3 linked regions of the Pelodiscus sinensis genome follow. The protein of the gene in region 3 interacts with the protein of the main gene of each other region in a pairwise test. Links are inferred from orthologs where the notes say so. Each region holds a gene or a part of one and is shown on either strand. Other genes may lie near its edges. The genes, in order: CDR2, CCDC102B and FAM161A.

Region 1 (3,750 bases), on a different chromosome or scaffold from region 3:
TGAACTAGTCAATTGGGCAGTTTTTAGTGGTCTTCAGTACTGTCTGGTCAGTCTCCCCCCTGCATCTTTTAAACACATTAAAATGTAGCTACAAACCCATGCTTTCTGATGTAAACAATTACTGTAATTGGTAGAGACATAACTGCAAATGGAAGGGAAAAACATCTGCATGATTATGAATAAGCAGAAAGGTGAATACTTGAAACAATGTCCCCCTTTACAAACTGTTAGAGTACCCAATTTCTAAGAGTTACCAAGGATTGTTCCTTTTTAACACCAGAGAACTGGGCTTGACAATGAGTACACAGAAGGATCTAGTGGACAGTTCACTGAACTAGAAGCTTGGAGACCTTCGCTCTCTTGAGAGTTGGGCAAATCATTCTTCCTTTCTCCCACAGTCCCATCCTTCCCCATCTGTAAAGTGGGATAAAGATTACCCTTCTTTTCATTCATAGACCTTTAATTTTTGCAAAGTACTACATAATTTCTAGGTATTGTCTCGGATAATTATTTTCAAACATGGAAGCAGCTACTACCATGCTTCACTGTGGCCTGAGATAAGCTTGCCATAAAAACACTTGGCTACAGAAAGCAATGCTGTTTGGAAGCATTTGAACAGAACCAAGCATTGATACCTTTAGACCCCAGGATGCTTTAGGGACCACACACAGACAGAGATCACTTCGGGGACTATTAACAGCATGCACCTATGAGCCCCCTGGACTCACCTGTTCCTAACCCTCTGTACTGCGCTGTCATTCCCACCCTCCCACTATAGCTCCCCCTTCCTGTCCCACCCCACAGCTCCCCCATCCCTCTGTACTCCTCTCCCATTCCTACCCCTTCAGAGCTGCCCCACCCCTCTCTGTACTTCACCATGCCCACCGCCTACGAGCGCTGGAACTATTTTATAGTGGGGATAGCAACTGACCCAGACTGTAAACCTGGGGTGCTGCAGCCCGCCTAGCCCCGGCTCCCATCCTTCCCAACCCCTATTTCTCCTCAACTCCCCCTCCTCCAGCCCAGGAACCTACTCCCGGGAATTAACCCCTGACAGCCACTCCAACACCCCCTCCTCCAGCACGTACTGACCGACTCCTTGGCTCCGCCCTCCGGCTGGAGGCTGCGCACCTATCTCGGGGGGCGGAACTTAATCGGCCCAAACCCACCTTTCCCCCCACTCCACTGGCTGAGTGGAAGCTTTCAACGCTTGATTGGGCGGCGTTCCGGTCGATCCCCTAACGGCGGCGTGCGATTGGTTGTCCGGCAGGGAGGTCAGAGTGCCCGTTTTGAATAATCGTTCTCCTTGTAGTAAAAGGGCGGTTGCCCATGCCACGTTGCTGCCGGCTGCGGTGCCGGGCCCGGCCTGGAGGCGGGGGGGACTCGGCTAAGTCCGGAAGCGCTCGGCAAAGTCCGGCCGCGGCTTTAAAGGAGTTGAACGGTCCCCGGCTCGCCCCGCGCCAGGCTTGTCGGTGAGCGCGAGGAGCCCTCGGGGGGCCGCGATGCTGGCCGACAGCCTGGTGGAGGAGTTCGAAATCCGCGAGGATGAGCCCTGGTACGACCAGCAGGACCTGCAGCAAGGTGAGCAGCCTGGCTCCGCGCGGAGGATGCCCGCCTGACGCGGGCTCGGGGCTCAAGCGAACGGCTCCCGCTGGGCGAGGCGATGAAGGAGCCTCCTCCGGCGGCGTCTTCAGGGGATGATGGGGGTGGGGGGCGACAGGTAAGTCCCGAGGGGGCGCGGGATGAGGACAGGTAAGTCCCGGTGAGGCGGGCAGTTGGGAAACGTGGCTGGGGGGGGGGGGGGGGGAAGATGTGTGCGCCCGGGCGGGGAGCGACTGAGGGGAGCGAGGCGAGGAAAAGGGCGAGGGCGTGGAGAGGACAGAAGGGCACAGTTGCCCCCCCGGGGCTAGCGCGGGGGTGGGTTATTATTTGGGAGACATCGTTAGGCTGGGGGCGCACGGAAGGAGGCTTTGTGACCATTGACATTGCAAAGCGTTTGCCATCCTGCAGCTTCTGAGGGCACCGGGGATTTAACCAAGAACAGCAATTCCCTGGGAGGCGCAATGGTATCGTGCGAGGTTTTTGGGCCGTACGGACTTGTGCAAAACGAACCCTGCGAGTGGCTTCGTGTACCTGGCTTCGGAGCTGGTTCTTCCCTTAACTTTGTTCGCGTCCTGCGTGTGCCACTCCGTGAAAAGCTGCACCTCTTGGCGTAAAGCAGCTTGGGAATGGGAGTGCTTTCGCTGCAGTGCTTGCTTAAAATAGAGCGGCTGAATACTCCTTAGGGGCTTCCACACCCTGCAACCGCCTTCTGCTTGTCTGTAATTAAAGGGCTAAACACTAGAGCACATCTGACGAAGTGGGTCTTTGCCCACGAAAGCTTATGCTCCTACACTTACTTCAGTTAGTCTATAAGGTGCCACAGGACTCCTTGTCGCTTTTGCAGATTCAGACTAACACAGCTACCCCTCTGATACTAGAGCACAATAAAGGTGTTAAGTGGGCTAGTCTTTTGTTAGTCTTTAACTAAAAGAAACTTAAAAACAAAACAAAGCAATGGTCCTACAAGGACCATTGTTAACTTTATTGTGGATAGAGGGTCATTTACTGCTCTCAACTCCTCCTTACACAGGTCCTGTTTACAATTTACTGTGAAAATTTATTGACTAATTCCAATATATGTGTGCTTCTCTTAATACTATAATAATTATGTAGCTCTTATAGGATACAGTTACACCACAGGACAAAGTCAAATTAAGATATGCAACTTCAGTTATGTTAATTATATAGCTGAAGTCAAAGTACCTTATTTCAGCTTTTGGTACTGTTTACACTGCAGGAAGTTGAAGGGAGAGCACTCTCCCTTCAACTTCCCTTACTCCTGGTGAAAGCAGGACTACCGGTATGGACCAGAGTGCCCCTCTCAGTTTGAATTAGCTGTCTTAACTACACTCTCTAATTCAAACCCTGGAAGAACGAGAGCTGGAGCTTCAATCTTCCTCTGTAGTGTACATGTACCCATAGTGCTTTTTCATCAGTAGGTTTCCATGTAACTTTATAAAGCTGGTTTGAGACATAGTAGTATAGAGTAGTGTATGCAGTAAAATGTATGGCATTATCAATTTTCTGAACCTCCAGTAGGCTTTAATTGGAATGCATTTAGAACAAACTATTTTGGGTTTAGCACTATTTAAAATTGGTATTTTAGTCTTATTTTTAAATAAGCTATTTATGTTCTTAAATGGTCAGTTCAGAACTGGAAACTCAGAGAAGGGGCTTCCTCAAAACTAGATTTAATTAAAACTTGGTTTCTCTAAGCTATTCCTCATTTAAGCTCTTTGAGGTTGGGACAGTTCTTTTGTTTTGGTTGTACATTGGCAAGCACAGTGGGATCCTGATACATGACTAGGGTTGATAGAGCCTATTGCATTATAAAGAATAGAAGTAGAAAAAAAAATCATGTTTTTCATACTAAAGTCAAGTAGTTAACAATAAAAATTCCATCTCTGCTAACTGTTGAATAGCTGTACAGCAGTTTTCAGCAGTTTTCATAGATTGTAACTTAACAGGATCGCATACCCATGAATAGTTTGCTGTTGTCTGGAAAAACTGGTGAACCATCTAACATTATTTTCTAATGATTTAGACTTTTTTTCCAATCCATTGTAAAGCTGTCACTATTCAGAGACAAACCTGTCTCTGTGAATCACCTAGCTTCCTCATGAAATGTACAGATCCTTTGGGCTGATC
Region 2 (3,750 bases), on a different chromosome or scaffold from region 3:
ATTCATATTTGAAAAAGACTTGGTGCAATGTGTATTCAATAAAGCGTAATCTGGAAGTCAGGTGAAGGAAAAAGGAGTACAAGGAACATAGACAGCAAAATAAGAATGAGGGTATGGCAGTTAGAGAAAATGAATTTACAGTTAATAAAGTGAAAACTGAAACCTTATAAAATATATTATAGAATCATCCATATATATGAATTCTTGCTGGGAGAAGAATATCTAACTGCTTCTGTGACTGCTTGAGTTTTGGTCAACCCTGGTTGAGCTCTGTTATACAATACTTGGATTCCTCTCTCCTTTTTCTTTTTTTACAAAAAGTAGAGCATTTCAGACAGACAAATATATCAAGTCCAATTAAAATTCCTCAGACTTATTCCCATGGAATTATCTGAAAACTGCAGTGCATGTACCGCTAATGACAGACAAACTTGATGTTCCACCAACTGCCTTAAAAATGTTGAAGTGGCACACGAACCAACAGAGTTTGCAAGCCACTGCTCTAAAATATGGGTACACCTATCAAGTAGTCTTAATTTAGCCCTTGAATATGTAGGCTTGTACTCAGTTAACCTATCCTATAAAGTATCTAGCACCCTTGGCTATATCTAGAGGTTAACTAGGGAAGGGCCATAGCCAGATGTCTTATCCAGAATTTTGATGATCTTTGAAAATCTGACCTTCCACAATGAGACAACCAACAGAGGGTAGCAAGGCCCTACTGGTGTGAAAGTGTATATGAATTAAGTCCAATGTATTCCTAAATTCTATCATATATGTTAGAGGGATCCATCCTATGTACACGATTTGCAAAGAAACGTCATAAGCAGTGCAGCAAACTGAAGATTTTTTTAGACTTGTGTGACGGCACGTTGGGGGTTCCCCGTCTCCTGCACCCCGAAATGGCACAAACAGACTGTACCAGCCAGTGGAATTGAGGGTGGTTTATTGCTCCTCCAGCACAGCGCAGCACAGATGTAGTCTGGTTACAGGAACTGGGCTAGGATGCCTCAGGCCCCCTTGAGATGGGGGAGACTGGGCCCCTAAAACTCCAGCTCCTCTCCCTAGGCTGTCTCATCCATCCTCACAGACAGCCACCAACCAACTAACCCACTTCCAGCCCTGCCCCCCAGCCAGGGCCGCATTCACCTTCCTTTGTTCCTCTCCATGGGGGGTGTCTGGCCACTGGTTCAACAAGTTTGTCCTTACCTCTGCCTAGTGAGGTTTTCCCTGCTGGGTCTTGCTCCAGACAGCAGAGGTCACCACATCCCAGCAAGTACCCCCACTACGTCACAACTTGTTTTTGCCAAGACCTTGTGTGAGCATTTATAAATTGTGCTAAGCAGTCACATTAGCAATCAGTAAATGATTTGATAGAGATTTAGAAGAAATGGAAAGGGATGAAAAACAATATTTAGCACCAAACTCTTTAGGGCAGGGAACATCTCTTTGATTCAGAAAGTTCTATATATTTTTGTGGGGCTAAATAATTATTGGTAAGATTAATAAATTAATCTATTAAAAGATGCTAAGGCCTATCTATTGAGGTAAATGGCAATAAATTAACCAATTACAGGTGATTAGTAAAAGAAATAATTGAAGAGCACTGGATTAAATAAAGGACAGGAAAAAATAGAAAATAAGCTTGATACATCATTCTTTGCACTTACTGAATGTCCATTAAATTTGTTGGATGGTTGGAATAGGTGAAGAACACACAAGTCCCATTCATGAAACAACATTTATACAGTATATTTATATACATTTCAGGGCACATTTGCATTTTAGGGCAAATAGTTGCAAGAACACTAAGTATTCCTTCTGTAAGTTATATTAGAGCAAGAAAAATGTTTCCTACCCAATATCAACATTAATGGTTGTGGGGAATAAACTAATGTGGTAGTGATGAAAACAGTGAAAATGAAAAGCTAGATACAGCCAGAGAACCTGGGTTTTAACTGCTGAGAAGTTAGAACAGTCTGCTATATGCATTTATGAAATTGCTCTGTATTACTTTAGGAATTTATTCCTCAGGTCCTTCCTAGTGACAGCTCATCCACACACATTCTGAGATTGTCCATTATTTGAAACGGTACTAGCTGAATTTCCTTTTTTATTATTTTTAAAGTGCAGTATAACAAAAAACAAACAAACAAAACCTTACTGATTTATAGCTCCTAATTTTGCCTGTATCCAGAGAGTTTTCAGGGGGAAATTAAGATCACAAATTTATCAGTTAGTTGCACATTTTATATCGGAAACATTCCTTCTGATTACACAACTTCCTGTTAACCGCAACAGAAATTGAGTGCAAGTTGCAAACTCAAACTATACTATTCCCCTGAGACTAAAATTTCTAGTGTTGAGTGAGGTTTAGAAAATGACCCAAACAGTACCTCCTTCTCCTACTGTACTTTTGAATTTTTATATAAACAGTGTAAGCCTTCAACATTCCATATTTATAGTAAATCATTCAGGTTTTTAAATTAATAATAAAGATAGTTTAACATACTTTTACTGTGCAAATGTATATTTTAAAATCTTATATTAAAATAAGCATATTGCATACATACAGGACAAGGTATGTTTAATATGATGCAAAGATAAAAAAAATTGTCCAATGGTAGTTTAATGGAAAGCAAAAGGAAAATAGTAAAACACAATTTAATCACACAATCAAAATAGTTTTCTTTTTTAAATCTAAGTACTTCTGTAATATAGCTTATAGAGCTTTCCACCCTCAGTTCCCTGGGTGAGTATTATACACACCACCCTGCAGAAAGATATAAAAATTAACACAGTATAAAACCACAAGACTACTAAAGCCCCTTACCCTTTGGGCTTGCTGGGCTGTTCTTGCTGCTCAGTGCTGCAGACACATGTGTAAACAGAATTTCCTGCATCCTTTTCTGATCTGCACAGTTCTGGGGTTTTGGCCAACAGGATTATTTCCAGCATTAAAGCCACTCCACACTAACTAGAAAGAAGATTCCCATTGGTCAGGCTGTATCAAAACCAATACCACAACTTTTTTTTTAAATGCAAGTCAGTCACCACCTACAGATACACGCCACACACAGCTTATTGTGCTTTTCATCAGTAATTTCTCCTCCTTTTCTGAACTGCATATTGTGTGTGTGTGAGAGAGAGAGATTGATTGATTGATTTCTGGGCCAGCAACAGCTTCTCCCACTCCACATGTATCTCTGGTACATTTTGCATGCTATTGTAAAGTACATTACACCATTAACAAAAGTCCTGTGATATTTAAATTGTGAAGCACAAAAGGTGTGAGCAAGCTAACCAAATCCAAATAAAAAATACAGACCCTGAAAGAAAAGGGTAATTTCTTGAGCTCTGAATATCATTTACACCACACAAACATAAATGACTGGTACACTAAAGAAAAAAAAAATATTTTGTGGAATATAAAATAGTACACTTTTGTAACATTGGGGCTACAAATATAGGGAAAGATTGAAACGCACCAGCTTGCCTATAATAGGAATCTGCAAAGGAGCTGCATGCTACCACTGTGGGACCTCTTAAGAGTCATTCAGTCAAACAATACCATGGCTCCATTGAAATCAGCGAAGCTCTGGCAAGCCCATTGATCTGGCCCATTGAGTCTACTTCAGTCATAATGCTTATATAGAGTAGCTGCAATCCCCTGTGTCATTTGGAAAGAGGCTTCTTCTTTGGATCTAACAATGGTAACTCTCCCACAAACGCTCCCCCCCCTTTGCTCTC
Region 3 (3,750 bases):
CAAGATAGGGACTGTAGGTTTGTTCTTAAGTTGAATTTGTATGTAAATCGGAACTGGCGTCCAGATTCAGCCACTGGTTGAAACTGACCAGCGGCTGACTACAGGAAGCCCAAGGCAGAGCTGCTCTGCCCCGGGCTTCCTGGAATCAGCCGCTGATCAGTTTCAACAGTGGCTGAATCTGGATGCCTGGGACAGAGCAGCTGGGGCGCTGCCGGATTGGTCCCCGCAGCACCACACCTTGGCGTTGCGGGGACCAACCCGGCAGCGCCCCAGCTGCTCTACCCCAGGCATCGGCGAGAAAAGCCTGGTCTGCTGGGGAGGGGGGGGGGGGGGGGCGCACTAGCTGCGCTCCCCACCCACAGCAGACCAGGGAGAGACGGAGCAGTTTTTCTCACTGCAGAGGACGCGGGCGGCGGTCCTGCCGCCCACATCCTCCGTGGCGAGAAAAGCCCTGTTCGTATGTAGGGATCCACGTAACTCAGGGACTGCGTATAGTGATGATGGAAGCAACATAGGCCTTAAACAGGGCAGTCTTCTTCAAATCATCCATTACTAGTTTTCCTTCCCCCCCCCCCAAGTATCAAACCTACATTTTCCATTGTCTTTCTCTTGCTCCTAACACATTTGTAGAACCTCTTTTATGTTCCTTGCTAGGTATATCTCATTTTGTGCTTTAGCCTTTCTGATTTCATAGCCACTCATTTACTGTTCTTTTGTACTCACCCTTAGTAATTTCTCTCCATTTTTGTAGGATTACTTTTTACTTCATCTTCAAACCCCTTCTGTTAGTGCCTAGTGCATCACATTCAAGCTCTTTGTTCTCATTCTCATCACGCTACATAATCTTACTCTCATCTACATGTCTTTTCCCATTTACTCCTATTTCTACCTTTCAGTATGCTAAACTCAGCACCACCTCTTGCTTTAAAGCTGTCCCCTTCATTCTTACCTTCACACCTTTCAACATCTCTTCCCTGAACTTGAAACTACACTCCGCTTTCTACCCCTCTTTAAAACACATTTTTACAGGAATCATTCCTATATTCTCATCAATAATCTCCTTTATCTCTTACAGCTCTTGTAGCATCTTGTTTTAAAAAGGCAGACTTGGAACACGGGTGTCCTTATATATCAGAAAATACTTCACCACATGCCAAAGTATTTCCTTAAGAGACAAAACTTATATTACTTTTAGTTTTAAAATCTCACTTGAAGACAGAATTAAAAATACATCATTAATCCAGAGACTAATCTTCAGAAGATCATCTTACCCTATTTAAAATGTAAACCCAGTGTGTTTTGTTCCTTAGCATTATTGCAGTTGCCACAAGGAATATCATAGCAACATATTGGGGGTGAGGGAGGATCAGACTGGTAGCAGTCTTCTGGAATTTTCACCTTCCTCCACAGTGTGGGATGCAAGTTGCCTGCTAGGATCATCTTTGTGCAGCTTTCAATCAATTTCCTGCCATTCCAAGGGCCTCAGGCATTGGTGGACATTGGTTCCTCCTGTTCTCTGCCTGTGGCGCACAGTGGTCAGTCTCCTGGAAGCTGAAATACCTTAGACTAATTTTGGTAGTGGCATTTAGCATGCAGGGCGGTGCTGGTGCCCTGTGTTTACAGGAGGTCAGTCAGATCTGGTGACCCTTTCTGGCTGGAAAAGCAGCCATCTGTCTACTAAATCCTAGTTCTCCTAGCAGGTTGGGACAGTCACTGGACTTGATGGAACTCCATAAAGCACAGCATCAAAGCCATGAAAAGGTTAGCAGGAGCTAGGCAGCCTAGGAGAATGCCACCGGTTCCACGTTTTCTAATGCATTGCCTCCCTTATACAACAGAGACATTACTTGACATAATAGCGATCAGATGCTCACAGACTTTCACCCCCATGGGCAGCAGATATAAGAGGCAGGGAAAGGCATTGCCTTCTCAAACGGCCACGCATGGTCCCACCCACACTCCGCCCCCTGCTTCAGCATGGCTGCCAGGCTTCAGCTGTGCCGAAGTGGGGATTAGCGGTACCTATCACCCTTACTGGGTAATGCTGACCGGTCCCCGTTAACCGGTGGGGGCTGGAGCGGCTCCCTACGGCTAAGCCCCAGCGATGTGCGGGGCGCAGGAGCCCCCCCCTCGCCCTGCGAGAGCGCCCCACGGCCGGAGCCGCCAGCCCCCGGCTCAGGCGGGGGGGGAGGCTCCCGCGCAAGGGGAGCGGGATGTCGCTGCCCTCACCCGGGGGGCGAGCGGCGCAGGAGACACGGCCCGGGCTCCCCGCCCCGCCCCCGCGGTACCTGCTGCTCCACGGCGGCCGCTGGGCGCCTCTCCCGCTCGTACAGAGCCACCGGCGCCCTGGTGCGCGGGTTCACGGGCGTCCTGAGGCAGGAGGCGGTGAGGAGCGCAGCGCGGTGCGCCGCGTCCATACTCCGCGGGCAGCGGCTGGCTCGGCCGCCGCCTCTGGCTCCCAGCTACAGCGGTTACCGGGGACGCTACGGCACGTCTACTAGGACAAACCTATGCGGACTGCGAGTCAAGCCCCAAGCTGAGACTCCGCCCTCCTAGAGCCCTTCCGGACCGCGGCGCGACGGGAAGTTCGGGGACCCCGGAGTGCGGAGATTCCTGCCCCGCTGTTGGGGAGGAGGGGGCTGTCAGTCCTCCCTTCTGAGAGTTGCTGCGCCTTTCTGCTCAGGCTGTTCCCAGGAAGGCTGGATGCACACCCCGCGCCAAGTTAGCTTCCTCGATCAGTTCAGCGTAAGGGTAATTCAGTGCTAGATGGGCTGGAACCACAGCCGATGGGCAGATGTATCTTTGTCAGAGTGCTTCGAGTCTCCACTCGATATGCTTGCAATGGTTTTGTGCCACTTCTGCTGCTCAAGCTATGATTAGTGACAGAAGGTGCTACCCTCTCCCTTCCCAAACCCCCTAGGGATAAAGCAAGTGTATTTCAGCCAACTTTCATTGAACTGAAACATGGGAACGTCACCCCAGGGGAAGAGCTTGGGCCATCCCAGTTGGGGGAGTTAATTGGCCAGAGACCAACTGAGTAGTTCTTAGAACAGGGGTGAGCAAGATGCATCGGGTGAATCAGTCCACCCCTACAGCATAGGACACCCAAAGCAGCAAGCTGCTCCTTGTTCCTTCACTGGGGGGAATGGGAAGAGGCTTCCCCTGGTGCCCCACAGTCAGCAAAATCTCTCTGCCCGTTTGCCAAAAATCCACCAAAGGGAGCTAAGAGATTTTGCTGGAGGGAGTAGAAGCGCATGAACTCCTCCATCCCCCGCCCACATCACAGAGCCACATGGAACAGAAGGCATTTAGGGTTGTTGCCAAGCACTGAAGCTTGTTTGGAGCAGTCACCTGTCCAGTAGCTGTTTGCATAAGCACTTGCTAGCAAGAGCCTGCCTTTGGCACCCCACCCCCTCCAATGCCCCTATTATCTCCCAGACTCTGCACACTCTGCTACACTCCCAGAATGTATCTTTAACCCCTCCTGGAGCCTACACCCCAATGCACTGGACCAGGTCACAACCTCCTCCTTCACCCAAACTTCCTCAGATCCCACCCCCTTTCCTGCACCCAAGTGGCCTGCTCCTGAACTCCCTTCTACTCTCAATCAGTAGCCAAGACCTCACTGTCTCCCCCCACACCTAGAAAAGTGTGACCTTGACTACTTACCAAAAGCTTGGAGTCTCCCCCTCCACCAAAAATTATCCCTAAACTACATACAAAGATGTTAATATTAAGTCTTGGATTGCA

The links.
Region 1: the proteins of FAM161A (region 3) and CDR2 interact in binary tests that used the Homo sapiens proteins (3 or more experiments, as listed by UniProt). The two-hybrid records come from large-scale screens. The link is inferred for Pelodiscus sinensis from reciprocal best matches to the Homo sapiens genes FAM161A and CDR2.
Region 2: the proteins of FAM161A (region 3) and CCDC102B interact in binary tests that used the Homo sapiens proteins (3 or more experiments, as listed by UniProt). The two-hybrid records come from large-scale screens. The link is inferred for Pelodiscus sinensis from reciprocal best matches to the Homo sapiens genes FAM161A and CCDC102B.

What each region holds. Positions count from the first base shown.
Region 1 is NC_134726.1:22,798,845-22,802,594, reverse strand, and holds the start of CDR2 (cerebellar degeneration-related protein 2), read left to right. Parts: upstream 1-1,320; 5' UTR 1,321-1,502; coding exon 1,503-1,581; intron 1,582-3,750.
Region 2 is NC_134712.1:92,060,410-92,064,159, reverse strand, and holds the start of CCDC102B (coiled-coil domain-containing protein 102B), read right to left. Parts: upstream 2,968-3,750; 5' UTR 2,834-2,967; intron 1-2,833. UniProt on the Homo sapiens protein: During interphase, forms fibers at the proximal ends of centrioles to maintain centrosome cohesion. During mitosis, dissociates from the centrosome following phosphorylation to allow centrosome separation. Contributes to CROCC/rootletin filament formation.
Region 3 is NC_134713.1:180,771,944-180,775,693, forward strand, and holds the start of FAM161A (protein FAM161A), read right to left. Parts: upstream 2,455-3,750; 5' UTR 2,418-2,454; coding exon 2,289-2,417; intron 1-2,288. UniProt on the Homo sapiens protein: Involved in ciliogenesis.